Alligator mississippiensis: one gene and its partner. The protein of the gene in region 1 interacts with the protein of each later gene in a pairwise test. Links are inferred from orthologs where the notes say so. Each region holds a gene or a part of one and is shown in the gene's direction. Other genes may lie near its edges. The genes, in order: PRR22 and NELFA.

Region 1 (16,575 bases):
ACATGTAAAATTGCTGGTGTGCCGTTGCTTGTTCTAGTGGGACTCCCTACTTATGTGTCTTGGAATGGAAAAGAGTAATGAAATCACATTGAAAAGACAGTAGCGTCCAGGAATTGTGCATAAAGAAGGCACAAAAATACAATAAGAGCAAATATTCTATCCAACCTTAAATATAATTTGAGTTCTGAAATATGAAATATATTAGGATTGATAGGCCAGATCCTTAGCTTATGGAAGCCACCATTGCCCCACTGACTTCAGTAGAGCTGTATTATTTGACAGCAGTTAGGCATGTGGCCCTTGATAGCTGAGCACGAGCAGCCTGTGGCTCTGCATAAGCAGCAGGATAGGCAGGGGAGGATATTTTTAAGAGCACAAATTGAATTTAGGCTCCTCATTCCCACTGCAGGTCTGTGGGAGTTGAATTACTAGACACCGAGTTAGAAAACTTTGACTGAAGTTCATACTCTGAAGAGGGCACAGCTTGGACTGGAGCGGGTGTTGGCAGGAGGTAGCGTGAGGATCAGGGTATGAATGAATACCAATCTCTTGCTTTGTTGCAGTGAGATGCTCTTGGGACCTGTTCCTACAAACTTCACCTTCCTACCCAAGCACAAGGCGAATTCTTACAGATAGTACTGACCAGGAAATCCTTAAACCAGCAGATCAAGAGAAGACTATAAATGCTCTGGTGAGATGCAGATGACCCTGCCGTGTTTGGGAACCAAATAAAATGTTATGGGTCTTTTTATTTATTTATTTGCAGTTTTGATGTGTTGTCTGTATGTAGCCTTGCAATTGGGGACAGATGCCAGAATACTGGTAGCTTTGGTCCTTGAGCAGCCTATTACCAACATCTCAGTTCTAGCTTATCTAAGATACTTATGCATCTTCTATCACAATAATGTTCCCTATAGCAGCGGTTCTCAACCTTTTTTATATCAGGACCCAATTATAAGCATTGATGGCCAGTCCAGTGCCCCTCACTCCTGACCCAATGCCCCTTGCCCCACAGTGTGTGGGGCAAGGGGTGCCCCAGGCAGCCCCTTGCAGGGTGGAATTCAGCCAGCCTGCAAGGGAAAAGCCACAGTTTCCCACATTTTTCTCCTTGAAAGGAGAATGCATTTTTAATGTTGGTTCATGACCCTTTCATATATTCTTGTGACCCACGGGTTGAGAAACTCTGCCCTATAGTCTTTAATGTATTGATCTCAAAATCCACCTATGAACTTGAGCAATACTATCCCCATTTCATGGGTGAGGATCTGAGGCACAGAGAAACTAAGTGACTTGAACAAGGACACACTGGGGGGTGCATAGCTTAGGAGGGAATAGAACCTGTCACTTTAGTCTTAAGATAATGCCCTAAACTTTAAGTCAGTGATTCTCAACCAGAGATGATGTCATAAGATCCTTTTTAAGGGTGCCATGGGTTGCCATGCAATATTAGGCCTATACTTTATATATAAAGGATGTGCATCAGGAATTGGGAGAACATTTGTTCACCAGGGTGTCCCACAGGAAGACAAAGTCTAACAGTCACAAACTGCTGGAAGACTGTTTTAGACTGGATGTAAGGAAACATTTCTTTACCATCCTAGTCTCCAGAGTCTGGAATAGCCTCCCCCTAGAAGTGGTCCAAGCACCTACTCTGGATACCTTTAAGAAATGGTTGGATGCTTATCTTGCTGGGGTGATCCGACCCCAGCTGACTTCCTGCCCCTTGGGCAGGACTGGACCCGATGATCTTGTGAGGGCCCTTCCTGCCCTAATGTCTATGAGTCTCTCTGACTGCTCCTGTGGAAACATCGGCACATGATTCAGATGATAAACCCAGAGATTACCAATAGGGATCCATAGTATCGACAGCGTTCTGGGCTTTGAGATCTTTGCAACAAAAGAACTGGTCTGTTATTTTTCCATAGTCAAGAAATAAGTAAGAGCTAGAGTTTTCCAAGGGCGTACTTGAGTCTAACTAGGGGTGCCTTGAATCATCTTCAAAAAAAAAAAATTGAGAACCACTGTTGTAGACTCTTTTTTCCTTCCTGCATAGCTCTTTACACTGTCTTTGAAGGCTTCTCCTGACCTTTGCTGAATAATAAAGTACCTTTTGGTTAGGAGCTTTGCTCAGTTCACAACTTGAATTTTCTGGAGCATTTCCATGTGCATCTTGTGTTAGTGCTTGTGTAGCAAGGGCTGACCATTTGCCATAGTCTTTGCCAATAGCACCAATGTATCCCTATTCCAAAAAGCCACCTTCTGCAAGAGGACAAAGATGCAGCAATCCATGGGGCCAATTTTGCAAAGTGTAGACCCCCTGAATCCAAATGAAGCCTGGCAAGCTGCACATTCATAGAATTAGACCCAGTGTTTAAGAGAGTAAGTGTATCTGAAAGCCTGTGGGGTGGCGGGGGGAGAATTAGGTCTCCCAAAATGATTTTGCATTGAAATTAGGTTCTTAAAGGAGTGATGAGGGAATTTAAAATTTTACTGCAAGAGAAAGTAGTTCCAAAAGGGCTGAAGTACTCTGAGATTGGCACGTGGAGTAACAAACCCCCTGTGACCTTCCCAGGCTAATCTCATCAGAGGTTTTCTTCCAGTTTGTCAGACTGTAATATCAGACTCGAGCGAATACACTGCACACATGACACATGTCCAGGCACAACACAACTATCACAAATGCCTCTGGCTGCAACAGGAAAGATGCTGCAGCTGAAATTTTAAACATCTATCAATGTCCGAACAGCAACCAGAAACTAGTTCATTTTCCCCCAGCTGTGTCATCAACCCTGTCTAACACTAATAACAACGAGACAGTAAGAGAAACTCATTCTGGTTCATCAGTTCCCCACACAGAGAAGATCTGCTGTTTAAGGATGTGCTATTTTTACATCCTAACAGAAACTTTACTTTTAAAAAAAGACCATTCTCCTCAGCCCAGAGCTAGGGATGAATAGAAATGGGCCTATTATAATGGCTGTCACATGCAGGATTTAATAACCTTCTCATGCCATGTTGAAGCAAAAGGCAGTTTCTTTCCCAACGCTTGCAAGTAATTTAGGTGCCTAAGTCCTGTTGGCCGTCAAGACTTGTGCATCTACGTGCTTCAGAAAATCCCACTCAAAGGATCAAACGCCACGCAGCAGTTGCACAACAGCAATCGCTCTCCACAGATCACTGCTTACCAGGCGCAAGTCAGAATTCAATGTCTACCTATCTTTTTACCATTGCCTTTCCCCCTTGGTGTGACTTGTATTGGCAAAGCCAGTGTAAAAATGCTCCAAGCATAAGCAAGTGCATGTCATTCACTTCACGCAAGTGTAAATGAGCGCACACGAAAGAACTGGAAGCCAGAGTAGTTACTGTATGTCAGTATTAAATGGTGTTGGGTGTGTATTTGAAGGATGCTGAGCCTCTGCAGTTTCCAGTGGCTTATGCCTGAACTGGGGGACTTAGCGCTTTGTGAAATGAGGTCCTAGATTCATACACAGCAGCGGGCCAAATTAACAGATTGGTCTAAGACAAGCCGCTGCCTATTTGCTTTGCAGCTCATTTCTCCCACCACTGCATGGTACCCATGTCCTGGATTCCCCCACTACTGAATGCCTCGGCTGTCCTCTGCGGGCCAGATACAATCCATCTGCAGGCCTGATCTGACCCATGGGCTGTAGATGGCCGACCCCTGTTGTACAGATTTGTCTAAATAAATTGGTTTACTGTTCTCGGGTTGCCCATAATGGCAAGTGTCCATGTTACTTTTCAGGCAAGGAAATGAAAAGTAAATCCTTGTCTGTGCCGATCGAATTGTAACTGCATTCCCCCTCTCACGAGCACGCTTTGCTTCCAGCATTTCACAGCCACGTTGTAAATCTTGCAGGAGAGTGAATTAAGCAAGAAAAGGTGACGATGCACCATGAAAACTTAATGGAATTGGTCTCAGCTGCTGATCAAGGTGTGAGACTTCATAGAGGGGTTCCCTTTCTCTTTCTTAAATGAGTTCCTTGTGTTCAATAGTAAAGTCAATTCCTTATTTGCCTCCAAGGCAACAATTTCAGTAAAAAAATTGCTAAAACTGCAAATATGTGGGGCTGGTCAGCTACCACAGAACTGCTAAGCAGTGCAGGTGCTTATGTGAAGGAGGAGAGGCCATGAGAGCTTTACACACTCTTGTAATTAAATTTGCAGGTAGATCGGGTATGTCGTACCTCTCATCCGTGCACTTGTAGGGATGCATGTACACCTATGATTAGATGTCTGTTTTACACGAGGAGCTCCTGCTTGGTGTTTAGCCACCTAAGGACATGGAAGGGTACAAAACTATACAAGCCGCTGCTGCTGTAAATCCCACTAAGTCTCTTTCTCCTTCCTTAGGTGCCTAAACACTTGTAAGGAAGGGGCAGGAGAAAGGTGGTGTCTGCTGTGATGACCAGACGTACTCACAGAAACAATCCAGCTCTCCACCCTGCGGCCACATGGGATTAGTCATGACCACATCGCTTACACTGTCCTCTCCAGGATGTCACTTATAGCTGAGGAAGAAAGACCCACAGAAAGGCATTTCCTTTCAGTTAAGAGTCAGCTGGAACCATTACGAAGACCTTGGCCCATTTCCCCCTTCTACCATGGCAGGGGGACAGATCCAGCTCCCTTCTCCCATCCCAGCTCCTGAGCGGCTGCTGCTGCTGCTCTACAAGGCACATCAGAATGACGCGCTGTGTTTTACACCTACTTCATTGCAGTTTAAATGATTGCAATGAGCAGGGAATCGGGCCCAGAGCCTTAGAGCATGTTAAGGCACTTGGTGAATGAGGCCTGGAGGCCTCTCCCGTTCCTATTTCACAGCAGATGGAAATGGGGGGGGCTTGACAGAATTCAAGGGGTTCACAGCTCTTCCTATGCTGGAGTGCACCCAGAACAACCTGGGGAAGGCCCTCAAATCTGTTCCTTCCATTTTGAAAATGCAACCACCGATTTCCCTGCAAACTCAGCTCCGTAACCCCTTTCCTCCAAGCATGCCCTCATCCATTCCCAGCAGTTTGCTTTTGCATTGCACGTGCTTCCGTTTGACACAGGGCTCAGCTGTGTGTCCGTAAGACACTCAGCGGATGAGAAGAGATAAGCCATGTCGGCGCTACCTGCAGGGATGATGCTGAGGAGTAACTTTCCTGCTCTCTGGATGGCATCAGGCCTGCTCCTTCTTCCGTAGCTGTATATTGGTCCCATCTGAAGAGGAGCTGGAGCACTCAGCCGTGCGGTGCTTTGAGATCTCTTTGAGGGTGAGCACAGTGTCTGCACCCCTAAGGGTGCTAACATGATTCACAAGGAAACCCAGAGATTTCAAACAGGAATCCAGAGTGTTAAAAACACTCGGACCCTCTGTGTCTATTATGGATCTGTTATTTTTATGTAGCCGAAGAAACACGTGAAAACTGCCAGCTGGCATTTTCCACGGGGTGTCCCAAGTCTAAATAGGTTGAGAGCTGCTGGACTAGAGGGATGCCCAGGTTTCCTGGAACATCGATACCAGTGTTGTGCAACGTGGCAGGAGTGTAAGGGATGTGCTACGCACTACCAAGAGCGTCCCTGCCTTTTGGGGAGCATCTCACAGAATAGAAGACATTAATGCAGCTACTCACAGGAGAAAAGTGGTTGCCAGACTGTCTTCAGCCACAGCCTCTTTGTCAAGAAAAAGTGGATGTGTTAGCAGCTGAACTCCAGACACTTCTACCAGGGGATCACATGGCTCAGCGGGCTTTTTATCTCAGGCAAATTGATTCAGATGTTTAGCAGATTAGCGGATTAGCAGAGACCGAAGGGCGTTATCACTCGATGGGTTCTGTGGATTGGGTTGATGAATCTCAGGCTGGCTCCCGGCGGGCTGCTGCTTTCACAGCTGTCACTAATTGGCTTCCTTCTGGGGGGGAAAGATGCTTCAAGAGCTCGCTACGTAGTCTTATAAAAAAAAACAAAACCCACCAGAAGCTAAAACATGACTCAGGAGAGTGGAAGAGGAATCAGGATCAATAATATCCAAGCTACGAGGGGCTGAAGGTGGGGGCAGTAAAGCCTAGAAAGAAAGGATGACAAAGAAAATGTAATAGTTAATTGGCAAGAGGCAAGGATTTTTTTTTGGGGGGGGTGGTATCTTTTGCTGGCCCAGTGGCATGGCTGGGATCGATTTAGAGCAGCTTAAACTACCTGCAGATGTCTCCATACTCTGGAGATGCAAGGAGCTGCGCCAGCCGGGGAAGTTATGCAGTGAGACCTCACTTTGCTATATCGAGCGCCACGCCAGCAGCAAGGCTATTTTCCCCGCCGGGGGTATGCACTAACAGACTCAAAAAGAAGAGACTTCTTTTTAGTCTAAAAATAGAGACTTAAAAATAATGCTCAGACCGAAAGAAAAATGCCGTGCATTTGAAAGCTTGTCTAGCTTTATCCCAACCATGCAGTTGGTCCAATGAAAGATCTCACCTCAAACAATCCTTACCTCTCAAAAAATAACAGGCTAATTACAATTGCAATTAAAGAAATGTTTTTGCAAACATCTTGTTGGCCTAATAAAAGATACCTCGACTGCGAGTCCTGATTGAGCTAATTACAGGCTTTTAGACTGCCGTGGCCTAGTTCAGAGGCTCTTCAAGGCATGTTTATGGGTACTTTGCACCAAGAATATGTATGGGGAAGTGGCAGGGTTTAGTGTATAGACCTAGAGAGTACGAGTTATAGTGTTTGGATCCCGCTTCAAACCTGATCCCTAGTTCAGTGAATCTCAGTGCCTAGTATTTCTGTGTCTAATCAGGAATCGCATTTACTCATCAGGAGATCCAAGGGGGGCAGCAGCTCTCGATGCAGCATGTAGCTGGCAAATGGAGTCCATAAAGGTGCATGCAGCAGGTGGCCTGCAGCCCCTCTCCTCCTCGACGTAACACTGCAGCTGGTGCGGAGCGGGTCTTGCAATGGTTTATCCCCGATTTAGCCACAGCATAGACAGATGGAGAAGCAGGCCTACCCGTCGGTCCCAGCATTCAGTGCTGCCAGCATATTTCCAGGTGGAAAGAAGCCCTGTAGTGCAGAAGAGGACCATTTATATTGGGAGCAGCCCCCAGGCTTTGGGCTGGTTCCAGTGCATCTCTTGGCCAGGTACCGTTTACATGCTCTGTCGCGGCGTGACGCAAACCTGTAGCACCGGGGGTCATACATAGATTTATAGATGTTTCATAGATTCATAGATACAGCTGCAGGTTAAAATTATAATTGTCTGACCCAGCTTCCAGGGAAAGTCTAATGTGCTCCATGGGTCAGGGAGGAAGTTTTCTTCCCTTCCTGCATTATCTCCATGTTGTTGAGTGATGGGATCCAGGAACACTACCTGCAGATGTCTCCATCCTCTAGAGATGCAAGGAGCTGAGCAAAGGGGGAAAGTTATGTAGTGAGAACTCACTTTGCAATGGCAAGAGTGCTGCGTCAGCAGCAACGAGACGCCGAAGCAGGAGGCCAGACAAGTGCCATAAGAACAGGAGCGAGAAGGAATGGTTTCCACGTGTTCAGGTGAACAATACAATCCCAAACGTAGGCCTAGAGAAACAGGAACGATGAAGAGAGACTTGGTAGCTGATGCTCGCTAAAATTACGATCACATTGGAGACCATGCTACAGAGGCATGCTGTAGCACAGCAAGCCTGGGTTGGATGCAGGAGAATGGAGCAGAGGGACCAAAACCAGCCTGAATTCTACCATGTATCAAAATCAAACGTCCAGGTGGGCAAGTGGACAGGGTGTATCCAACAAGACTTGCCCCGAGAGCCACTAGCTGCACTGCCTTGCCAACCCTGAGAGGCACCTGTCCATGCCCTCAAGCAATGATCTGATTCCCTGCTGCCCAGCAGTCGCTTGTCCAAATACAGTGCAAGTGTCTGGCAGGACGCAAAATGCAACCGGATCAGAGTGGTTGTGTATCACAGGCATTTCACGTGGATTGGGTGCACATAATCGCACAAGATGCAAGCCAGTGAAGCGGCAGGCTCTGGGCATCCTGTCCTTGATGGATCAAGAATATTGTACAAAGTTTAAAAAGAAAATAATATAGATTGGGGTGACCAACCTCTGCATGGCATGTGGCAGATTGTGGAGAGGACAGACATCTCAGGGCAGGAAGCAGAGCAGTCAATCAGGCGGGGGAACGGGAAGAAATGATATTCTGGGAGACTTCCCTTACAATGGACGGTAGAGGGCACTGGTGCCGTAGTTCAGCTGAACGCAGCAACGAGCAGGATCATTTTATCAGGTATGCAGGTTGTAGCCGTATTGGTCTAGAGGAAAAGGCAGTCAGGACTCGTAGTAGAGATGATATCTTTTATTAGACCAACACGATTTTTGCAAAATTAAAGACTTTTTTTGCAAAAATCGTGTTGGTCTAATAAAAGATATTATTTCTACTACAAGTCCTGATTGCCAGGATCATTTTAGGCTTTCCAGGTTGCTACCAAGCTGCGAAGTGTGGTCATTGGGAACTGTACGGCGAGAGCAGAGTCTAACTGATATCTCCCTCGCTCCCACCCCAGTACTAATATTGCTCTGGGAAAGGGCAGCCCTGGCAGAGAGATGTTATAATTTCAGAGTCATGTTAAGCAGCAGATAGTTTTTATGAGATTATTTTCCACAATTTTCCACAACCTTATTTCATCTGTTCCCACCCACCTGATATTTCATAGGGCATGGGATGTGGATTCTGCAGAAAACATGAATCGGCGTCCAAGCACATGTTAAATCACCATTTTTGCTTTTTTTTAAATTAAAGTGAATCTGATGCCGTTTGCCGAATATTTCAATGCCGTTTAAAACTCGAGTAATAATTTCACAAAAGCGACGCATTAGGAACATCTCATGAAACAGAAAGAAAATCCATCTTTCGGGATTTCAGACTTCATTGCGAGTGTTCGGATCCTATTGCTAATCCCAGCTGTGCCTACGCCTGACTGCCAGGATCCAGCTGTGGACTGGTTTTAGTTTTCATCCTCTTACCTATTTCCAACTTTGGTAAAGGCGGCAAATGGGGATTATAATTCCATCTTTCACTTGCCCTTGATTTGCAAAAAAAGGCATTGATAATATGTCTCATATCCAGCAGATGTATTTGCTGTGTGAGGACACACCACCACCTATCGGACTGAAGTTGGGTTTACATTTGGACACGACGGCAGTGTGGAAGTTCCCATCAGCATTTAGCATCCCTGCACCGAATCTCTGTTCAGACGTATTTGTCGGCGCAGAGAGGAAGTATCCTAGCACGCCAGGTTTGGGCGCTGCTGGGGGGTCCCTTTGCTTGGTGTGCCACCCTCGGGGGGGAAAATGTAACTCATGAAACATGTTGGCCTTGCATCTCTGGATTTGCTGCTAACCTGCTTTCTACTTGGCACGGAAAGAACGGCAGATCATCACTGACGCTCGCCTCCCCCGCTTCATGGCTTTGTCTGATTTCAGTCGCCGGATAGAAGCTTTTTAATTTTGCAAACCTTTTCCTCGCAAGTCAGAGATTTCCTTGCACTTGCCCAAGAGAAACAGCACGCCAGTCATTATTCTTAAACGTAGACTGATGTCACGTGCTGCCCCTTTCTGCACGTGCACAGAGCGATATCCATCATTCCCACTCAGTTTTCTCACTCTTTTTTTTTTTTTTTCCTAACCCATCGTTTCTCTGATCTATTCAAGATGGTTGATTTTACATTTAAGCAGTACTAGCCTCTCTCATTTTGGGTCTTCGACACCCATTACGCTTTGCATCTTGAGTAGCTGAGAGGGGAGGAGAGGGGATCAAAGTGCTATGCTCCCTTCCCATCGCCCTGCCTCAAAAAAGGATACAGCAGAAATAGAGACCGCAGAGATGCCATTAGCTCTTCACCTTGTCTGCTAGCTTGCACTCATGCAGTCTCGAAGTGACAAGTGAATCCCAGGTGACGTGTCCTCCGCCCGGAGGAGCAAATGAGCACCCCCCTACCCCGACCACCCCGACCATCCGGAAGTGGAGTGAAATATTTCTGATTACCTGCTGGTCCTTGGGCCTCCAGAAACGAGACCCCTGCTCCGTGCATCAGAAAGAATACGATGGAGGGCACTTTCCCTCTCCGAAATCCTTCTGCTCCTGGGTATGACCAGAACCCATCAGTCCCTTTGCTACCAGGGGCTCCCAGGGATTTGGATGAGCTTGGATATATAATATGGCTGAGAGAGAGGCTAGACAGATGCTCATGGGGGGCAAACCTGGCAGAGACGCTAGAGGTAGGATATGCCTGATGAACGAGTTGAGGCATTGAAAGATTAAATAAAGAAAAACTCCTTCACAGTCAGGGCGTCCACACTGTGAAATAAGCTCCCTCCAGAGGTGGTCCAGTCACCTACCCTGGAGATCTTCCAAGAGGAGACCGGACGGTCACCTCGCTGGGGTCGCTGGACCCCCAGTTACCTTTCCTGCCTGGTGCAGGGGGCTGGACCCGATGATCTTCCGAGGAGCCTTACAATCTATGAAACAACATATCTGGTTTATGCCATGCAGAATATATGACTCCGTAGTGAAGACGAAGACGACACCAGCCTTGAGCCACCCTATAAGAATCCCATAGATCCCCCCATCGCCCCTTGTTGAAACAGCTCGTGACAAACACTCGTCCCTCTACAACACCATAACCCTCAGACACAGCGATGTCAGGACCAAGCCTTTTTAAGGTCCCTACCATGAAAACTAGCCCTCGCTTTGGAGGTGACCTGTCCCAGCACCTTAAGGAACTTAGAACCTCGGTTGTTACCTGGATTTCTTCCCCCGAGTAACCATCAAAACAGAACGTCCCAGCCGCGGCAACCACGTCTGGAGCCAGTTGCCCTAGACGCAGCCAAAGAGCGGTTGTGCTAGACTGTCATTCGACCTGCCGCAGCGAGGATGCAGCAGCCCAAGCTGTTCTACCAGCACCAGGAGACCTACGGTGCCAGATCTCTCGACCAAGCAGACTGCCAAGCGAACAGGCCACTTCCAGCATTTGTCCTCCCAGAAACCCTGACCTCAGTAGGTAAGAGCATTTAATTCTCCGCTCCGCTGCCTAGCCTGTCCCCCTTTAAAACTTCTCCCCTGGGCACATGTTGTCCCTGGATGTAACCTACTGCTACTTGCTCTCTGGGGCCTTCCTCTTTTTCCCATTTTCTCTAATCCTTTGACGTTTGCATTAATTCACGCTTTCAAATGGTTCCCCGGATAAAGCCTCGGTTGCTCGTGGTGGTGACGTGAACTCCCGTGTTACTGTTTCAGGAACGTCCAACCTGTATCAGACCTCCAGTCAAGACAAAGAAGTTCTCATGTCGCCGCCTGCAGGTATGGGACACGCGGCAGAGGAATTAAGGCCGAACTTGGCGTACGAGTGAAGTTCATAACTCCCTTTGAAGGTCCTGGCTGTGCCAGCGGTGGGTAGTAAAGAGTCAGGCCCAGCAAGTTGGGCTGAACATTATAATGTGCCCTCGGAGGACACCTACTTTCCCTTACGCCCTCTTATTTTATCTCAAACACCGTACCTGGTGTCGAACCTACTCTGATTTTCCAGTCCTATGCCCAACCGAATGCCAAAGTTGGTAATGCAGACCAGAAACACCAGACTTGGACCAGGTTATACCATGGGCTTCTCTACATTATGGGGTCACAGCTGCCATAGCCATGCCAGGAAAACTATGTAGTGTAGACCAGACCTCGGTGTCTAATTTGACTCCGATATGCACCATTGCAGAACTAGATCCTTAGCTGGCATAAATTGATATAACCTCATTGAAGTCAATAGACCAGCACCAATTTACATTAGCATTTGCCCCATGCTTGGGAGGGCTGGGTTCAGTCAAGCTGAATGCTTATGTGGTCTGGATACTTAAAAAGCTGCTTTTATTTCTATTGCCCAGGTTTCCAGATGGCTCCCTGCGGATGTTTCTTCGATCCCCGGATATACCGTATAGAATGGGCAACGACCAATTTTGTGCAGCCATCTGTTTATAAGCTCCCCAGCGGCTCGAATTCGCAGACCCCGTACCTCCTGGATGCTCAGAGATACCTCAAGAGCCCTGTACAGACCGTCCCGTACCCGCATTATCAGCAAATCCCCAGCAACCCCCAATACATCATGCCTTATTTCAATCAAGAGGGCCTCACCAGCGTCACAGAACAAGTTAATTTTGTCCCCAACCCACTTCACGACTCTCAGCTCGTTGAGGTGCCTCATCTCCAGGAAGAAGGCCAAATTCAGAAGAGCGACCACAAACTACCCCAGCTCCTTATCACATTGCCTGGCCTGAACCAGAATGAGACCCCCATCCAAGTCGGCACCCTCAACCACCTGGAGGAAAGGCTAAATCAGACGACCGACCCTGACCCAAGCCACCACCTGGATTTCCAAGTGTTTGATGGTTACCAAGCTGAGGGGAGAGACCTTCAAGAAAATCATGTGATCCAGAACCTCCTAGCAAACCCTCAGACCCCGGACGTGTGCATGGAAGAGCAAAATCCCCTTCCGAGCACCGGTGCTGAAAAGGCACAGGTGGTGCCAGAGGGGACACCCTGTCCTCCGCCGGACAGCATTGCAGCTGAAGAAAGAGAAACGGCGGACGCACAAAAATCCTTCGACCTGCCCGAGAAGGTTTTGCTGGAAGATGCAATGAAACTTTTTGGTTGCTCTCCAGCTAACTCGGACTCTGAGGTCCCCAAGGACAACTTGAGCCGCCCCCCTGAGCCCAGCAAGAGGAAGAGGAAAGACTGCGACTTCCCAAGCGAAGACATGAGCTCACTGAAGCTGCCAGAGGAGCTGCTGTCCTGTGCCTACAGCGTGCCAGAGATTTTAACCACAGTGGCAAGCCTGGATTATTTCTACGACATCAAAACCAACGATGAGGAACCAAAGTGGGAGTTCGGACGGGCGCTACCAGCTCCCCAAAACCGTGCATCGCTCCAGGATGGCCTGCAGGAGCCCCAGAGGAAAAAGAAGCGAAGTAACCCGTCTGCTAAGAAAGGCAAACACAGAGCCAGCAAATGCAAAGCTTCTTCTGCACAGGATTGCTGCATGTCCCAGGGGCAGGACTGCCCCATGCCAGCTGTCTGACTGGCACCTTCCCTCTGACTGTACAGAAGCAATTCTGGGCCGGGGCAGGCCCGCTGATTGCAATGAATGACTTGATCAGAACGGACATTCCTTTTATTCCCCCATTAAAAGCGATCTGTTTGGAAATACTCTGCGTCTGCATTTGAGAGAGAATTGCAAGGGCAAAACTCAGGGTGCAGCACAGGGGAGTGTGGTGTAGAAAGGACCAAGTGGATGCAACAGCCAAGCATGTAGGGGAGTTAAATGCCGAATCCCAAACCAGCTGTTCGCAGGGATTTATAGACGGTGCAGTGGGCCAATGTGTCCCGAGTTATTCATGCTCTCCTACAACAGGCCTGTCTGTCTTCTGGGGGCCACAATTCCTCACCCCAGCTGCATGCCATGTGGCCTCCATCCCACATTGCCCTCTCCGCCTCCCCCTGCCCAATATACAGCATGGGGACCCCTGCCTATGGGCTGCTTGGCCTTGCAGGCTGCACTGTGCCACCCTTTCCCCCTGCCAAGGGTGGGGCAGGCAGCAAAGGTTAAAGGAGGGAGTCTGGAGACTGGCAGGAGCAGCAGGAGAGCATTGGAGGGAGCCTGGAAGGGCCTCAGATTAATCCCTGGGGGCTCAATATGCCCATGGACCGCTAGCTGGACAGCCCTGTCCTAGAATATAGACACACAGCTCATTCAGACCAGTCGCACAAAAGTTGTTCCCGGGCCACGTTACGGGCAGCGAGGTGCAGAAGGTCCCCGGGGAAGTGAACTGGTGCCGTGACAGTAGCCAGGGTACCGGCTTACTGCTGTAGCACTGTACATCCGCCTTACACCGGGGTCAAGGTGCAGGGCCCAGGAGAATCGGCAAGGGGGGACTCCCTCCAGCAAGCCAGGGAGCTGGGCCCGTAACAGGAGTGACAGCGGGGTCCTGGTGGTAGAGCAGCCATCAAGGTTGTGCGGTCCCAGAGCACGCGAGGATCGAGGCTCTCTGCCCAATAGTTTGAACTCTGCCCGCTAGAGGAGACGGCAGGAAAGGTCTAAACCCCACTGCCCCAAGCTGCAGGAGCCAAATTACCATCTGGAGCCTGCGACTTCCCCCCCCCAACAGCTCCTCTGTGCTTCTGCCCACGTCCCCCTCACCCACAGACCCCAGCTTGGGACAAAGCCAGGCTGAAGTTTGACGAGATCGGTCCTGGGCAGGCAACGAGGCCCCAGAGCCGTGATGCTGAGCCAGGCGCCTGCGTGCAGAGCGGGCGGCTGGGAGGAAATAGCCCTACTTCCTCTTGCTGTGCAGCATAGGGGGGGAACCGGGTGGGCAGAGGAAGCAGCTGCCCCCACCCAAAAAAAGGCTACAGGAGGCAGCAGGGGCTTTGGCAAGGCAGACCGGTCCTGCTTGCAGCCGCCTCTGCAGGTGTAAGAGGACGCAGCCTGGGGCTGGCACGAGCTGCACCGGCTAACGGCCCGGGAGGGCCGACTGATCTGCTCCTACCCACAGCCATTGGAGCCCCCGAGATTATAATTCAGCCAGGGACCCTCACGAGTTAGCTCAGTATCATGCAGCTACCATGACAACCATGGGAGTAGCTATAGTCTTCTCTGGATCCGAGCTACTTTTGGGCATAGAAAGGATGGAGGTGACATCTCACTGCAGATCCCTCCAGCTGCCGTGCGAGTTGGGGGAGCAGGGGGGCGGTTCCAGCTGGGGAGAAAGCCCCCCCTACCCACCCCACACACAATTTTTCTCTTAACGCAGCCTCAGAAGTTAAAGAAACTCGTCCCCTCCACGTTGTTCCCATTGCACTTTCCTCTGAAGCATCAAGAATTGGGTGCTGCTGGAGACGAGCCTCTGGCTCGGAGGGAGCACACAGCTGGCCCTTCCTCTGCTCTTGGAGATTGCCTTGTGCAGAGAAATCGTCACAAGACAGGTTTCCAGGCAAAATCTAAGGTCTGAGAAGCCCTGTACAACCTGGGCCCTTGCTATGCGATGAACGCAGAGTCCGCCCATCCGATGCCACCACAGTTGCAAAGTGCAAAGGGTGTGAAAGCCAACCGCAGCCAGTTTAAAGGGGCGACAAGGGGCATCTTCCATGGAGCAAGCAGCTGAGTTTGGGCCCCCCTCTTCTGCCCAGAGCAGCCAGGATTCAGAGCTCCACCCGTAGCTGAGCTGGTCATGAGTCCACAATTAAATTTTAGAGTGCTAAAATCATTTTAAGCTGGATACCAATGTTTCAAAGACTCTTATTTCTTTCTGAGAGTGGGAAGCAGCAGTTGTGAGCCCCAGCGCTGTGCCCAACCTAGTCCTCTCTTCTTCTCAGCAGAGAATTAGCATAGCCACATGCATCTGGCACACAGAGGCGAGGCTGAGTAGCCGGCCTGGACACCAGCTAAGCTAAACAGAAGTAAACAGTGGCTGCTTCCCAATGCAAAGGCAGCACAGCCACATCCCCCTGGTGTCAGGCAGATAGGTAGGAGTCTACATCTACATAGAAGCAGAAGGGTGTACATACAAGCAGAAGCATGTACATACAGCAGAAGGGTACCCAGCAGTGGTCCCAGATCAGCTTTTCAAATTTGGGATGAAAATCTTGCTTTGGGGACACTAGAAATCCAGGACTGTCCTGGAAAACCTACACTGCATTGCTATAATACAACCATGGCCTTAAGTGTTGGAGCAGAGCTGATCAAAGCAAGTATTGATTGTTCTCATTAAAAGTTTCAACTAAGCCAGGGACTGGAACGGCTGCAAAAACAGTGGTGGTGCAATAAAGTCCTGTTGATTTTTAAATAGCTGGGCATCTGACTCTCATTGGATCTTTAACGTCTTCTGTATCACACCCAGCATCTAGGCCAGTGGTGCCCAGCCTCATTTGACCCAAGGGATCCCCTCCATAATGGTAGAAACGGTGCGCCCCTCTGTTCACAAAGACGTATGCATTAGAGCGCTTGCCTCCTTGCAGAGAAGTTAGGCAACAGGGATAAGCTTGAGCTTTCATTGATCTCCTCGCCCCCCCAGGGCACCCATTAAAGGGTCTAGCAGCACCGCTGGTTGCCGCAGCACCATGGCTGAGAATCACCGGTCTAGGTATCCCCATTGCTTCGTGTCCCACGCCACCGTTTCCATCCCCTCTAGCAGTTAGGCCCAGTCTAGAGACAAGTCTGCCACCACTTCTGACTCGACAGGAGTTTGGGGCACTTAAGCAGTAGAGACCAATGGTTGGAAGGTCCTGGTCCGATTCTTGTGGATAACCTGGAGCAATGATCTGCCTGGTGGGTCCAAGGAGAAGCTAAACTTAAACCTGAAAATACTGCTTTGCACTCTGAGCCCTCCTTCTACCCGGGGCTCTGCACCGCTTTGCAAGCTCAGAGCTTCCAAGGGAGAGAAAGAGACTTATTCATCCTCAGAAAAGCAGCATCCACCCCCAACCACCATCACCCAACCCCCTTTAATTTTAAAGCTTCTCAGGTCTCCTTAGAG
Region 2 (16,574 bases), on another chromosome or scaffold:
GGGGAGAAGTGGACACGCCGGAGGGCAGGGAACAGCTGCAGGCAGACCTGGACAGGTTGGACAAGTGGGCAGAAAACAACAGGAAGCAGTTCAACAAGGAGAAATGCAAAGCGCTGCACCAAGGGAGGAAAAATGTCCAGCACACCTACAACCTAGGGAATGACCTGCTGGGTGGCACAGAGGTGAAAAGGGATCTTGGACTCCTAGTGGACTCCAAGATGAACATGAGCCGGCAGTGTGACGAAGCCATCAAAAAAGCCAATGGCACTTTATCGTGCATCAGCAGATGCATGACGAATAGGTCCAAGGAGGTGATACTTCCCCTCTATCGGGCGCTGGTCAGACCGCAGTCGGAGTACTGTGTGCAATTCTGGGCGCCACACTTCAAGAGGGATGTGGATAACCTGGAGAGGGTCCAGAGAAGGGCAACTCGTATGGTCAAGGGCCTGCAGACCAAGCCCTACAAGGAGAGACTAGAGAAACTGGACCTTTTCAGCCTCCGCAAGAGAAGGTTGAGAGGCGACCTTGTGGCTGCCTATACGTTCATCACGGGGGCACAGAAGGGAATTGGTGAGTATTTATTCACCAAGGCGCCCCCAGGGGTTACAAGAAATAATGGCCACAAGCTAGCAGAGAGCAGATTTAGACTGGACATTAGGAAGAACTTCTTCACAGTTCGAGTGGCCAAGGTCTGGAACGGGCTCCCAAGGGAGGTGGTGCTCTCCCCTACCCTGGGGGTCTTCAAGAGGAGGTTAGATGAGCATCTAGCTGGGGTCATCTAGACCTAGCACTCTTTCCTGCTTATGCAGCGGGTCGGACTCGATGATCTATTGAGGTCCCTTCCGACCCTAACATCTATGAATCTATGAACGTGGGTTCATCAGGGGCAGGTCCTGTCAGACCAACCTGGTGGCTTTCTATGACCAGGTCACAAAATCCTTGGACGCAGCTGTCACGGTGGACTTTAGGAAGGCCTTTGACACTGTCTCTCACCTCATTCTCATTAAAAAATTAGGCGACTGTGGTGTTGATGCCTACACAGTCAGATGGGTCACTAACTGGCTGGAGGGCGGCACCCAGAGAGTGCTGGTGGACGGGTCTTATTCGACCTGGAGGGATGTGGGCAGTGGGGTCCCCCAGTGCTCGGTCCTTGGGCCTGCACTGTTCAACGTCTTCATCAGTGACTTGGACAAGGGGGTGAAAAGCACAGTGTTCAAATTCACAGATCACACTAAGATGTGGGGAGAAGTGGGCACGCTAGAAGGGAAGGACAGGCTACAACTAGATCTGGACAGGTTACAGGGGTGGGCAGATGAAAATAGGATGGGATTCAATACTGACACGTGCAAGGTACTGCACCTAGGGAGAAAGAACCAGCAGCATACCTACAGGTGGGGAACTCCCTTCTCGTCAGTACAGAGGCAGAAAAGGATCTTGGAGTCATTATTGATTCCAAGATGAACATGGGCCGACAGTGTGGGGACGCGGTCAAGAAGGCCAACAGCACCTTGTCATGCATCCACAGATGCACCTCAAGCAGGGCCAAGGAGGTGATCCTCCCCCTCTATGTAACACTGGTCAGGCCGCAGTTGGAGTACTGCGTCCAGTTCTGGGCACCGCACTTCAGGAGGGATGTGGACAGCATGGAGAGGGTCCAGAGGAGGGCCACTCGCATGGTCAGGGGGCAGCAGGGCAGGCCCTACAAGGAGAGGCTACGGGACCTGAACCTGTTCAGCCTCCACAAGAGAAGGCTGAGAGGGGATCTGGTGGCCATTTATAAACTTACCAGGGGGAACCAGAGGGTAAAGGGAGAGTCCCTGTTCCCCTGAGCACTACCCAGAGTAACTAGGAATAACAGCCACAAGTTGACTAAGAGTAGGTTCAGCCTGGACATCAGGAAGAACTACTTCACAGCTAGGGTGGCTAGGATCTGGAACCAACTTCCAAGGGAATTGGTGCTTGCTCCTACCCTGGGGGTCTTCAAAAGGAGGCTAGATAATCACCTCGCCGGGGTCATTTGATCCCAGCACTCATTCCTGCCATGGCAGGGGGTCTGACTTGATGATCTGCTCAGGTCCCTTCTGACCCTAACAACTATGAAACTATAAGAGAGAATCCTTCATTTTGACATCAACCTTACTTGGGTTTATATCCTTTGACTTCATTATTACTTGTGTTTGCATCATCTCATTCTGTTGGAAGAAAATGTTGCAACGGGTTTCACTGAGCTGTTTGGCAAGTTACTAGTAACTTTGCAAAACTGACATCAATTGTCCTCGGTCAGGGTAACCCCAGCATAAATTAGTGTGTTAATTAACATGCCCCTTGTTTATTCTTTTGTATCTTTTCTTGTACAAAGTGTAGGCAAACAAAAAAGTCACGTATGTATGATTTTGAAACACTGTGATTTGAGAAAGGCAAGAATTCTTGTTCACGGTATCTTTTATTGGACCAGCACTGTAGTTGGTATAGCAAGCTTTCCAGTATCACAGTACCCTTTGTCAGGCTTCGGAGACAAATGCAGACAGGGATGCACTAAATAGCAGATGGAACAAAACCTTGTTAAGTAGAGTCATTATTACCTGGAGTTAGTTAGTATCAGGAAGATTATAATGGACCATGAAGATATTGTTTCTATACTAAGTCCCTGGTGCTGGGAGCCAGGTTTAATGATAAGGTTGCCTACATAATAGGGTTGCTTGAGACTTTCCATTAAGAAGCCTTGTTTTCAGTAAACTTGCCAAACTTTCATCATAGAATCATAGAGCAGGAAGATGGTGTATTTCATAACAGAGGAAGAATGCGCTACTCCTCAGCCATCTTAGATACATTTCTTTTCTTAAAAACTACCAATCAAGGAGATTCCACAACTTCCCCAGGTATTTGGGCTGAATTTTTTAATTCCAGCGATCTACCTCCCAGGGTTACCATATTTCCAGTATCAAAAAAAGGACACTTGTGAGTGTCATAACCCAGTGAGTTTGGTGCCTCGGCACTATGAAATTTTCTTGACACATGAGAGCCTCTTGCACAGCGAGGGTTTTTACTGCATAAAGAATCCGCGTGCAGGAGAGAGTTCCCGCCACTTTGCAGCTGTCTTTGCAGGATGCATTCTCTTTTCAGCACAGAAATGCACAGTGCAAAGAGTTCCCGCCATTCAGATGTAAATTTGTGCCCCGCAATTGGCTAGTGCTAAATTATTCACACGTGGCGGCCGGTAATTGGCTTGCTGGCCGTTTAAAAACTAGCACGACTTCCGCCCAAGTCAAAGAGCTTTGAGCACGCTGCAGAGTGCCTCTTAGAGATCTGACTTGCAGCTAGCTGATCGATAGACTGATCACCTATCGACCCTTCTTCCTGTCGCCGAACGCAATCCCAGACGTACCCTTTTCCCGCTGGCTTGAGTTATGGACAAATTTACTGGCATTGGCCTCGCCAGCTGGAGCAACTCACATTGTTGTCCAAACGACCGAACCATTTCCGTCGCAGCCACCTGCGACGTAAGTAAAGTTTTTTGCAACCATTAAGCCTTGTCAGCCTCTCCATTCACCAGCCCACCCTGACAAATGAGTAATTTCTGAATCACCTCGAGTCGGTTCAGCCCGGCCGAGATAGTGAGGGGAGGTGGAGAGGAGAGGAGAGGAGAGGAGAGGGGACGTGGCATATGACGGAGGGTGGGGGGCAGTGATATGTCCGTGTCCTGCCTCTGCCCCTCACTCCTAAGCCTCTGACCCCCAGCCCTGCCAGTGCCTCTCACTCCCAACCCACAGTGCCCCACTCCCACCCCACAACCCCCTGCCCCCCAGCACTGCCAGTGCCCTTCACTCCCACCTGCAGCCCCTGCCATCCAGCCCTGCCAGTGCCCCGCTCTCTGGACCCACAGCCTCTGCCCCCCAGCCCTGCTGGTGCCCCTCGCTCCCAACCTGCAGCACCCTTCCCCCCCAGCCCAGCTGTGCAGAGCACATGATCCCCAACAGCCAATCACCTTGCCTACTGCTCCCAGCCCCAAGCAACCAGCCAGAAAAAGCAGAGGCAGATCAAAAACCCAGACATTTGCTTGCATTTTAAAAACCTGCCCAGACATGAGGACAGGGGACCAAAAAAGAGGACATGTCTGGGAAACCCCGGGCATACAGTAACCCTACCAGCTTTCATTTTGGGTTTTTGGTGTTTTGTATTGTTTTGTTTTGGGGGTGGAGATCAAAGCCATTTTTAGGAAAGATGTAGGGAAAAAAACAGTTGTTTTGCCCTGACTAAATTTGATTCTGACACCTTTCTTCCATGAACTGCTTGGGCCCAGAAGATTATCTCTGAGAGCAAAGAAGCTGCCTCTGCTCTCAGTTCAGTTCCAGGACACAAAACATGGGATGGCCTACTGCACCCCAAAGTAGCAATAGCAGGCAGGGTCCCACTCAGGCCCAGACTGGAGCATACCCCCTTGGAAAAGGTGTAGCGCTGCTGGAATCAAATGCCTGTATCAACAATCCTGCTAAAATGCCTTAAGTAAATCCAAAGACCAACAGCTGTTTTTTAGTTACATTAAACAAACATCCTAAAATACTGTAACAAAATACCAAGCACCACTAGCAGTGTTACAATGCTTATTAAATAACTGCACCCACACAGTAATTATGGGTACAAACATTTGATCAGAATACCTACAGCTGAGCTAGTGAGAGAGACTCTACCCTGTCCCAGGCTGCCTGGCTCCAACAGATCAGTTCACACTAGCAAGAATCCATTTCTCTCACCCCATGTTATCCCCCTGATCTAGCCTCAAACTTTCACACAAATCTATCTTGTTACTCCGAATACACAAAACTTTCTTTCTTACTTTGTGTACTACTAATGGGCTTCATTCAAGACCTTCAGGTTTACTCCTTGGCTTACCAATCTCCTTGCCATCATTCACCACCTGTTCATTTATCTGTGGTTCCTCAAACTTTATCCTGCCAACAGTAGCTTTTCAACCCCCTGTGTGTGCATGTGTCTGCTTGTCTGTTTCTCAAATCATGGATACCTGGAAGATTTACGAATAATAAAATATTCCATCACCTATTGCATAATTACAGTATATTTCATAATCCCCACACACTCCAATTCTGTGCAGCCTGGACCTAACCTTTAGCAGAGAGAACAGCCTTGTAATCAGCATTGTGCCTTTCTCAGTGAAAATCTTCCCCAGATCACGTGAAGTTTTAAACTTCTGAAAGCTTTAACGGATGGGATCATGGGGGAATGCAGCTGTTCAAATCTAAGATGTCTATTGAGGAGGCAAAGTCAAGCATCAGAAGTTATATATGAACACAAGACAGCCAGGTTAATGTTGCATAAATGTCCTTAATTTTAGCATGTTTTAACTTCTTAATGCTTACCTGCTCAACCCTAATCATAGGGTTCTTTGTGTGTCTGTGATACATAAAACACTTCATATTCAGCTGCTTTGGACCACAGTGTTGGATCAGACACTGCTGCCTTTACCTGCAGTTGTAGGATATCAGTAAGGACCCAGTAATATGCCTGCTGCTTGTGTACCAACGTGGTGCCGTGCAGAGTAATATCTGTTGCTTGTGGACTGAGTACTCGATTGTCCATAATAACTTGAGCTGTTTGGCAAATCAAGATGGCAACCCATGAATTGGGACCACATTTGAGGTTTATTACTGGTTTCTCCCCAAAATGAAGTCTCGGGTATCATTCCTGTAACCATGGGCAACTGGTGCTGCCTTATACATTCATAGATGTTAGGGTCGGAAGGGACCTCAATATATCATTGAGTCCGACCCGCTGCATAAGCAGGAAAGAGTGCTGGGTCTAGATGACCCCAGCTAGATACTCATCTAACCTCCTCTTGAAGACCCCCAGGGTAGGGGAGAGCACCACCTCCCTTGGGAGCCCGTTCCAGACCTTGGCCACTCGAACTGTGAAGAAGTTCTTCCTAATGTCCAGTCTAAATCTGCTCTCTGCTAGCTTGTGGCCATTGTTTCTTGTAACCCCCGGGGGCGCCTTGGTGAATAAATACTCACCAATTCCTTTCTGTGCCCCCGTGATGAACTTATAGGCAGCCACAAGGTCGCCTCTCAACCTTCTCTTGCGGAGGCTGAAAAGGTCCAGTTTCTCTAGTCTCTCCTCATAGGGCTTGGTCTACAGGCCCTTGACCATATGCGTGGCCCTTCTCTGGACCCTCTCCAGGTTATCCGTATCCCTCTTGAAGTGTGGAACCCAGAATTGCACCTCTAACCTCTAGTTTGTTTAAAATTAATAAAAGCTAGATTTCCATTTTGATCACTTCTGCTTGGTTCCAAGGTACCTGTTGCCTATATCTAACTTTGTTTTATACAAGCAAATTCCAAATCTGTGTACGGATAAATATTATCCCCAGTCCTAAATTCCACCTGGATAACATGAAGCACAGAGGTGAAGTGGTTTGCCCAGGGCCACAATAAGCCATTTACTAGAGAATAACTTAAACTCTGACTACGCAGCACCCCTAAGGCCTAAAGAATCATGACCCATTATACCCATATATATACCCAGATATACAGAGTGGTATAAATGCACATGCAGTGCAGACACTGCAGTTTAAGATTTATATATATAAAAGAATCATGACCCATTCCTATATACAAATACAAGTATATGTATATACACGTATGTATAAGAATGGGTCATAATTCTTTATATATACTGCATATGCATTTATAGCACTAGTAAAATACATCTGTTACTTGCAGCCATTTCTGAAATGATTGGCTGGGATGAAAAAAACACTTGTCCTTGTGTTAATCATCCATTCTTAGAGCATCTTTCCACCCCCGACGCCGCTGGCAGCAAGGAGGGCGGAGGGTGGCGAGCAGCGACTGCCCGCAGGCACCGCCAGCGACATTGGTGGTGGCCAATCTCAGGGGGCGCGTGTGCACCCGTGTGCCGCCCCTACGCGTCGCCAGTGCCAGAGCACTTTATAGACAGGGAACAAACTAGCACTCCATGAACTGAGGTTTTTTAGGGGCTGCAAAACACTGTGCATGTTGGACACTAATTAGAAACAAACAAGTTGCACAAATCAGGAGCAACATTGCAGCAGCAGAGAGGCCAGAAGGATTAGCGTGTAAAGCTCCCCTGTGCCACCCAGCTCATCCCCCACAGAGAAGCCAGGTAGGAAGTAAACTCCTCTTTAGCTAGATCATTATAAATCGCAGGGTCTTCTCAAAAGCCCGGAAAGGAGGTAAGCAATGTATTTGGTTGCTGTCTTGGTCCGAGACAAAAAGAAGTGCAAAAACCTAGAGCTCTTGGTTCAGAGATGAGCCCTGTTATCGGACCAAATGAGAAATTGCAACAAATATATATATACATTTTTTTTCTGCAAGCTTTCGGGCTCCCAGAACGGAAAGGAGGTAATTCCCCCAATTTCCAAGACTACGAGCAGACAACTCGTTTACTCCGCGCCCCGTTCGCTGGGGACTGGCCGCCCAGCCCAACGGGCCGAATTTAAATAGCAACGAGCTCGCATGGGCCGGGCAGGCGCGCAGGGAGAGCGTGCGTCGGGACTTCACATGGCACCATGTGTTTGCCCGGGCGCGCGAGGCCGGTCGCTCTGCTCCCAACCCGCCCGGCAGGGCCGGCTGCCTTCGTTCGGGTTCAGCAGCTGCCGTACAGGCCGCCCGGACCCGCGCCGCGCCACGCTGCGCCCCTGCGTGCTACGAGGAGCATCTCGGGGGCGGAGGTTGTAACCAAAACACACAGGCGGACACGTTTTTGGGGGTCTAATCTTTTATTATTATTATTATTATTATTATTAAAATTCCTCTTTGCAAGCTTTCGGGTTGAAACCCCCGCGGTCAGGCTGAGGTAGCATCCGCAGTTGGTGCGCGCGCTCTTCCTGCGTGGAAAGCAAGGAGCCCCGCGGACCCACGCACGCTGTGCCCCTTCCCCACCGCCCCCAGAGAGGATGACAAGGCCGGCGCTGCGCACACCCACGCACGCAGTGCCCCTTCCCCCCAGAGAGCATGACAAGGCCGCAGCGGCCGCGTTACACGCCGGTTTCATCACCCGCCTCCCGCCACGTGCGGGAGGACAAGCCCGTGGGGGCTGTCCCGATACTGTCACATGATACTCTCGTCATGTAGCCGCTTCACAGCCTCCCGGCTTGCTTCCCTTAGCAGGGCGCTGCCATATTGCTGTACGGCAACGCCCGGCGCCATTTTGTATCCCTCCCGCTTGGGCGCCGCCATTTTAGATTACGGACAGGCCCCACCCCCTCCCACATCCCTCCCTCCCGTCGGCGCTTGGGCGCCGCCATTTTGGGTGACGAAAAGCGCGGGTCCTCGCCCCCTCCGCCCCTTCTTGCCTCCGCTGAGGTGTCTTCATAAAATGCCCGTGCAGAACCCCCTCTTTTTTCGGCCCGCTCCCAAGATGGCGTCGATGCGGGAGAGCGACACCGGCCTGTGGCTGCACAACAAGCTGGGCTCCACGGACGAGCTGTGGGCGCCGCCCAGCATCGCCTCGCTGCTCACGGCCTCGGTCATCGACAACATCCGCCTCTGCTTCCACGGCCTCTCGTCGCCCGTCAAGCTCAAGCTGCTGCTGGGGATGCTGCACCTGCCCCGCCGCGCCGTGGACGAGGTGAGCCCGGGGCCCGGCCTCGGGCCTCCCCCCGCTTCAGGCAGACTCGTCCCGGACACAAACTGCCCCTGCGTTTCTCCGTAGTAACACGGCAATGTCGGGACTCGTGGGAGAGGTGCAGTTTCTTTTATTAGACCCACGAGATTGTTTTTGGCAAAAAATTATAATAATAATAATACATTTTTAATGGGAAGCTTTTGGGGCACGAACCCCCTTCGTCAGGCACCGGGTGGGGGAGGGGGGGGGAGACGGTCAGAGTTCTCCTGGGTGGAAATGAAAGGTTTGGTTTTTTTTATTGCGGTTTTTTATTTTTATTATTTGGGTTTTACAGAGGGGAAACTGGTCTGGGCAGGCAGTTTATTTCTGCGGTTGGTTTTGTGTGCATTCAAACCGTTTTGGGGGAGGGACACCCCCCCCCCCCCCCCTTGCCTGACTGATGAAGCAGCACGGGTCAGCGGCGAGTGGAGGGAGAAGGGGCCGGTCCCCCCAGCAGGCTGCTTTACTGCTTTACACCCATCCTGCTGCTGCCAGGTTTCGGGTGGTGCTCGTCATGTGCTGCTTTTTAAAACAAGCCGTGTTTAATTTTTCATTTAAAAAAAAAACAACAACTTTTTTTCTTTAGTGTTTGGGAGCGGACCGTTATTTATGTTGTGTGCGTTATGTCTCGCTGAGCGGGCTGTCAGTCTTGATGTATTTTAATACAGGAGAGTGATGACTCCAGGAAAGTGAAAAGCCATCTATATTCACGTTGATTTTAATTGTATAAGTTGTCTGGTGACAACTTCAAGTTTCTCTCCATTCAATTTTCTCTCTGTGAACAAGTTAGCCTCAAATTTGACTTTGTCTCTGTACTTTTGGAGCACTGTACATCTACTTCCTCTGACTCCTTGTATACACGTGTGTACTGGTAAGGTTACAGGAGCACAGCATTGGCACCTGAATATTATGAGATTAGGACCCACATTGCATCAGCTTTGTGCATCTAAACTGTGCATTGTACGTGTAATTGGTGCACCGCGGGTGGTGTACATAGTGAGTCTTTAAATTGTGTGTGCCCTCTGCGTGTCAGGTTGCATTTACACTTCTTTAACGGAAGAGTAAGGCAGTCCCAAGGGGCTCTGTCACTTCACAGAGAAAATATCTGTAACAAACATCATAAACTCTGTAACAAGTATCATGTGACAGAGAATCTCTCACTTTTTAAATGAGTGATGGATTACGTGCGCTTTGTAACGGTGGAATACCTCTTGGACTGATCGTCTAACTACAGTGAAACACGTGGATTATTAGACTGTCTGATGCCCTTTGGTTTTAAAAAGGTTTTTTAGTGGATCATTGGTCCACTTTTTTTTTTTTTCTCCCAGGGAAGGTTAGGCAAGTCCAGACAAGGATATCTCTACAGTCTCCTTTTGGTAGCTTGGTCCTTTGCTTAAGTATTGTGCTTCTTTTTTCTTCTCCCTGATATTTTATATTTTGTAGCTACCATAGTACCTTTCGTTCAGGAGCTCTACTTTTTTACCAGTACTAATGAATTAATATCATCTTAAGGCAGGAATAGATAATCAAGCAGTGTTTTCTTTACCCTATCGTAAACCCCATTACTGCTTGCTTGTCATCACTGACTAGTAAGAATAATTGGTCCCTGGTTTTGTATTTGTAGACAGTTGTCAAATCTATACTCATGGAGTACTTCTTTGGGGTAAACATGGAAGCGTTTGAATGCTTTTTCATGGATTCTGTTTCTTTAAACTTCTTCCTTTTTCTCCTAATGTCTTTTAAGCTAAGCACATTTTTTTCAAATGATGCCTAAAGCTCAGTGCAGTGTTGACTTGAGTTTCTGGTTGGTGTTTTGTTTGTTTTTTTTTGGTCAGAATAATGACATTTATTTACTTTGCACATTGTACTCCTGTTAACCTATGGCATGTGAATTTTTGTGCCAGCATTGCACATACTCGGGTAGAACTATCCTGTGATTATCTTTTTTTTGTTTGTTTTTGATCCTGCCAGAGTAAGAGCAATGTGTGTGTTGCTATCCCTGGAATGTCCTGTGAGGGAGATGGTCCTATCCATCGTAGCTCTGCTGCACAATTGGGGTTTCATGGTCCCCTGGGGTGCTGCAAGATACTTTTAAGGGTGCTGCACAAAGACCTACACATGATTCTCAAGATAATCCCAGAGATATCAAATAGGAATCTATAGTGACAAAACATCCTGATCTGTTGTGGTCTGAGCTTTTTGCAACAGAAGAATTGCTTTATCATTTTTCTGCACTCAAAAAATGAGTGAAAACTATGAGTTTAGCATTTTTCTGAGGGGTGCCTTGATTCTATCAAGGTTGAGAGTCATTGATGTAGAGAAGGGGCATCAAAAATCCACCCTGTGGAGACCTAGGATCTGGCCCATGGGTCTCGGGCTGACCCCTCATGCAACGCATAGTGGCCCTAGCTCTGTATGCTGCATGCAATGCACAAGCTGAACTGGGCACCCAAACTGACACTGACTCTGGGGCTGGTTTGGTGTGAGTGCCACACAGTGTTTGCCTCATGCTCGCCCAATGTACTGTGTGCATTGTGTGAGCCCTGGATCAAGGCTAACTTGCTCTATGCAGCATGTGGGGCTGGACCAGGCACACACTGCATGTGGCACAGGGGGCTGATTGGGGTATATGCTGCATACGGCTCCCTGCTGGACCTGCTCCATGTTCTGACTCTGGGATCAGTCCAAACTGGCCCACAGACCACCCTCATGCACCAAAGCCAGCACTCAGCCTGGCTGGTGCAGGTGCTGCATGCAACATGTTCCCTGTGCCAGCTTCAAGTTTAAGTCCCAGGCTGGGGCTGACACTGCTGCACTTGGCATGCAAGCCTAGTGTGGGGTATGCTCTGTGCGCTGCCTCTGGTGCATAGGGCTGCTTGTGGGCCCAGTCTGGTCTGCAGCTCAGTCCCATACTTCTTATCCAGGCCATGGGGCAAGATGAGTTTGATGCCCCCGTGGTAGAAGGTAGTCAGTGCAGTGCCCCCTCTTGCTAGTCTACTTGAGTGGGGAGACCCTTCACCTTATGCACTCTTCAAAGTTGGAATCAGCACATGTACAAGGTACAAGGGAGCACAAGCACATTGTACTCATGTTGTGTCTCTTACCTCCCTTGAGCTGTGACCCCCAGAAATCTGTGCAGGACAAGGATGGGTTGTGCACTCAGGGTCAGGGGCTGTGCTAGCCTGTTGCCAGCAGGGGGGCTGGGTTGGGGCTGTACTTGGGGAGAGTGAGGCAAGAAGCAGCGCTGGGAGGTGGGCTACAGGGTGGCTATGGCAAATTTTAGGATGGCTGTAGCCCACTCTGTAAACTGCCCCCACCCATCCTGAGCGCAGCCTTAGGGCAACCCCCCCCCCCCCCCCCGAAGAGGCCACAGCAGGCAGCCCACCCTCACCCCATGCACAAATCTGGGGGACACATGCCCCCTATGTCTCCTCCAGGGTGCGTTTAGCACAGGGATCTCCCCCTCCACCATGTCCCCCCAGACAAGCCATTTGCAGGTCTATCTTGTGCCCTGCCCTGGCTGGGCAGCGCTTGCCCCTGCACCAGCCCCATTCCCTCCCTCACCATAGGGACCTCCATCTGCTCCCCTCCCCATGCCCCTCCCGTCCCACATACTTACCAGCCGGAAGCTGCTCTCCAAGCTGCCGGGCTGCATATCGGCAATCAGATCAGTATCAGCCATCAGTATCAACCAAAAAAGGCTTTATCGGTGCACTGCTAATTTATAGCGCGTGCACACACGTGTAGTTGATGCTTTCTGTCTTTGTATCATTTACATATAATACTGGCATACTTATTACTTACTACATTTTTTGGTTAAATGAAAATGCTGCATCAGTTTCTTTTGTACTGACACAGAGCCATTACAACATGTCAGGTTTCATAACTAGTTGTGAATCCACTTTATAATGTTTAGTCCACAGCGCTCTAGAGCAAGAGCTCCAAAAGGGCTTCTTCCAAAACATTCTTACTTCTTCTTTTTTCTCCTCTTCTTTTCTTTAACCCCAAATGTTTGTTTACTCATAGTGTTCATTGTGGTTTAATACAAGTGAAAATTAGTTTCATTTTTCTCATTTTGTTTAAATTAAAGCTTTACAGTATTGTTTTACATCCAAAACTGAAATAGGAGAGGTATACATTTGATTTGTTAGCAGACTTTTCTGGAGAAACATTTGGCTGCCTGTGCAAATTACTGTTGGCACCTTGTTTTTCTGTATACCAATTTCATACCTTTTTAAAGCTGTTTTTGCTAAACACTTGCATTTCAGATGAGGTGTGCAAGGAGAACTGACAAAATTTGTTGGGCCTGACCTTAACATCTTCAATACTCTTAATTACATTAGTTTGTGGTTCTCTGGAAAGTAAAAATGGCATGGATTTTTGTGAGTGATATGAATGCATTACTTTTGAAAGTTTGTCTAAGTTTATTACAGCTATGTTGCTGGTCCAGTAAAATATATTGCCCACAAAAAATCCTTGCCTCTCACTTCCTGGACCATCACAGCTACAACATCACTCCAACGCTACTTAAAAATGAGGACACTCATCACAACAGTGTGCTCAGTTTGCAAATAAAAGTTAACTTTTTTTTTACCTGCTGGCCCTGTAAGCTCAACCTGGGATCAGGTTCTTCCTGATCAAAACAAGAAAAGGCTAGACTTTGACACAGGCTGTGAGGGAATGTAGGAAACAGCTTAAGAAGAACAGACAGAATGTGGGGAAGTGTTAGAAACTTGCCAAACAAAAATCACTAGTTCAGTTGGACTAATGTTAAACCTAGCAGAAAGTAGATGTGTTTATCAGGTTTTTGGGGGCCTTTTTACCATATTACTTAAACCTGCAGAAAGGTTTGTTGACTATACAGTTGTTACATTTACAGGCCCTGAAAGTCCCCATTTTAAAGTTTTAGAATTCGTGTGGGGGGTGGGAGGTGAAAATGTAGACTGGCATCCTCAAGTATTTTATCCTTTCTTTCTGCTCCCACTTCATTCTTTTGTTAGCTGTAGTGGAAATCACTTCTGATGGATTTGTAGGGAAAATGCCATTTTTCCTTCTTACCCTTTAGTCTACTTGTGTTTCATTGCGAAGTATGAGTTTTAGCCATGCTGGGAAAGAATAGGAGGTATAGTGGAGGTTTAAGGGCTATAAATTCCCGGAAACAGATTCTGTCCATAGTATTAATAGTAATTAAATTGGGGAATGAAACAGGTTTGTGGTAGAAGGGAGGCACTGTGTAAGAAGCAGCAAAATCAAAAGGACCATCAGCAATTGACTTTATTTTTGAGGTCTGAAGGTGTTTTCAGAGAGGAATGGAGAACAGAAAGTCAAGTTAATAGTCTAAAGAGAGCAAAGAAACACATCAGCATGAAGCAAGTGAAATGTTTGCATAAGAGGGGTCCCGTTCTAAATCAATAAAGGGAAGGAAATGCAGATTGAAGGCTGAAAATCTGTCTTTGATAACTTGCCATGTTTGAATACCTGCAAACATTGCAATACATATTGTACAATTTACAGTGTTAAACGCAATTGGAGATGGAAAAGGCCAAGTCTCCATATTAGGTCTGCATTTCCATGCATAAAATCTCTAATGTTAATATTGTATGTTGCCAGTGACTTAATAGTTATCAGCTAGTTTTTGTTCTGTTTGTCTTATGGCCTGGTATGCACAACTACCTGAAGCCACATCTCCGTTCTGTTAAAGGTTGGATAGATTGAGGCAGGTTAATTTTTAACCTTTAAACAAATCTTACAACAAAACAAAACCAAAAAAAAACTTAAAAAGTCCAACTTTCAGCTTGTACTTCATAGCCTGAGCTATCTATAAATGAAGAACTAAAATGTTAAATTAAAAAAAAATCATTGTGTGAAGTGTCAGTAATGTGGATGTTGTTTAGGTTGGGTCTGTTGCTACTGGCTAAGAATATGGGAAGCATATGTTTCAGCTGTTTTAAAGGGGAGGGGAAGCTTTGTCCTCTAGTGTGCACGTTGGCTATTGCTCTGTAACTATTCTATCTTCCCGAGCCATTGTGTTATAAGTAGGGGTCTACCTAAATCATGGGAACTAAATTTTCACAGGCTGGTCATGGCATAAATAGCACATTCTGGAGATGTTTCCTGAATGTGCTCTGACGACCCTGCCCCTCAGTGCTGGTTGGTTGGCAGAGAGGCCTGGCAGGGGGTGCACCATCTTGCCTGCTGGCTGCCCTTCATGTGGCCCTGCCCCTTGACACCATTTGGTGGAGAGACCCCGGTGGAGGGACGGGGGGGGGGGGGGCAGCCCCATCTTGTCTGCTGCCCTTTGTGTTGCCTCACCAGCTGGCGCCACCCCAGCCCCCAGACTGGGCTGCCACAGCAGCAGCAAGGTTTACTGGCTCCCATTGGGGAGCTAGCACTTTATTAAATGTTTTAAGTTGATTTAGCAGTTTCTGCAGAATTGCAAATTGAGTGGACATTGAGTTGTAAGTGAGCTAAATTGTGTGAAATTTGACCTTGAATGAAGCAGGGTTAAAGTTGAAACAGTTTTGCTTTCCTTGTGCCATTACAGCAGAGATTCCCAACCACCAGGCCATGGCCCAAAGGGTTGGCTGCCAGGTCGTGGCACGAGCTTTAACCACTGCTAGCAACAGTTGTATGCCCAGGCCACGCCCACATCATGCTGATTGGCTGGGCAAGAATATCGTCACTTGGCCAGTGTGACTTTAGCTTTTGAAATTGGACTGCGGTAACTGTGGCTAGTCACTTCTGTATCAGAGAGACTGCCGTAGCTACTAATGTCTGGCTTGTCTCCTCCTTGTATCCTCAGCAGCTAGCTAGGTAATGTTAGCCAGCTGGCAATGTGTATGTATGAATTTTAGTTATTGTCATCTCCTTTACTGATGATGTTCCTGATGTACCTCGCAACCTCCCCTCCCCCCTGCCACATAAATTAAATTTAAATATGTAAATTAAATTGTTTCTATACCCGGTCTGCCAACATTCTTTGAGTGAGTTTGCCGGTCCATAGTATAAAAAAAAGATTGGAAACCACTGCACTTCAGAATCATACAGATGTAACAGCTTATTGGTATTGGCTAATATTGTTGCATCTTCCAGTATGATAATACATGTTTTGATTAGCAACCAAAAGCATAGTGTAATAACTTTCCCACTACAGTGTTATGAATTCTCTCTTCTTTTCCAAGCTTCTCCCCTCCCCACAAATAAGTTTTCAAAATAGCTTTTATTCTTAACTTTGTGGCAAAAATCTTGTAACATAGTTTACAGGAAGCCAAGCAGTGGGCGTTTTTTGGCAAATCGTTTATTGGCCAAAATACATTTTTGGTCACCTCGAGTTATAATAAATTTGGATTGATTACAACCTGAATATTTCAGTTTAATGAAAAAATTAAAAGGGCTTGAGTACTATCCACATGCTGGAGGTGGGGTGTGCCCCACTTTAATCTAGGCGTGTCCTAGGGTGAAAAGGGGACCTTAGCCCAAATTGAATCTGGCAAAAAAAAAAAAAAAAGGGGGGGTGGGGGGAATTTGAGTTGAGGCTTCCCATATTGCAGATGAATAACCTCATTGCTTAGCTGCCAGATATGTTATGACTCCGAAATGTGAGCTCTAGGGCGTAAGGGGACTAGAACCAGCACTGTTTACATCTGGAAATAACATCAGCAGTCAAGTTTTGGCTGAATGTGTTCAGTACTTTTTCCCATTTGAAACTTTTGGTGAAAAGATTCTTGAATTTTGGGAAGACTTGAAACACATTTTTAATTCTTTGTCAGTGGCTTAGGTCTAGTCTCGGGGTTTTATGCATTTATTCTGGGGTATAAAAATGCCTATTAGGCTCCCATAGGAAGTAATGTGCTGTGCATGTTTTTGCTGGTATCTGAATACATTTCCTAATACAAAGCAACTTGCTGAAGACTGTT

Evidence for each region.
Region 2: the proteins of PRR22 (region 1) and NELFA interact in a two-hybrid assay, tested with the Homo sapiens proteins (2 studies listed by BioGRID). The two-hybrid records come from large-scale screens. The link is inferred for Alligator mississippiensis from reciprocal best matches to the Homo sapiens genes PRR22 and NELFA.

What each region holds. Positions count from the first base shown.
Region 1 is NC_081839.1:5,974,889-5,991,463, forward strand, and holds PRR22 (proline-rich protein 22), read left to right. Parts: upstream 1-8,436; 5' UTR 8,437-10,933; coding exon 10,934-11,060; intron 11,061-11,296; coding exon 11,297-11,359; intron 11,360-11,931; coding exon 11,932-13,121; 3' UTR 13,122-13,230; downstream 13,231-16,575. Other genes in the region: DUS3L (tRNA-dihydrouridine(47) synthase [NAD(P)(+)]-like), read left to right, coding at 564-636.
Region 2 is NC_081825.1:18,990,155-19,006,728, reverse strand, and holds the start of NELFA (negative elongation factor A), read left to right. Parts: upstream 1-8,325; 5' UTR 8,326-8,370; coding exon 8,371-8,622; intron 8,623-8,630; exon of another isoform or gene 8,631-8,716; coding exon of another isoform or gene 8,717-8,737; intron 8,738-16,574. UniProt on the Homo sapiens protein: Essential component of the NELF complex, a complex that negatively regulates the elongation of transcription by RNA polymerase II.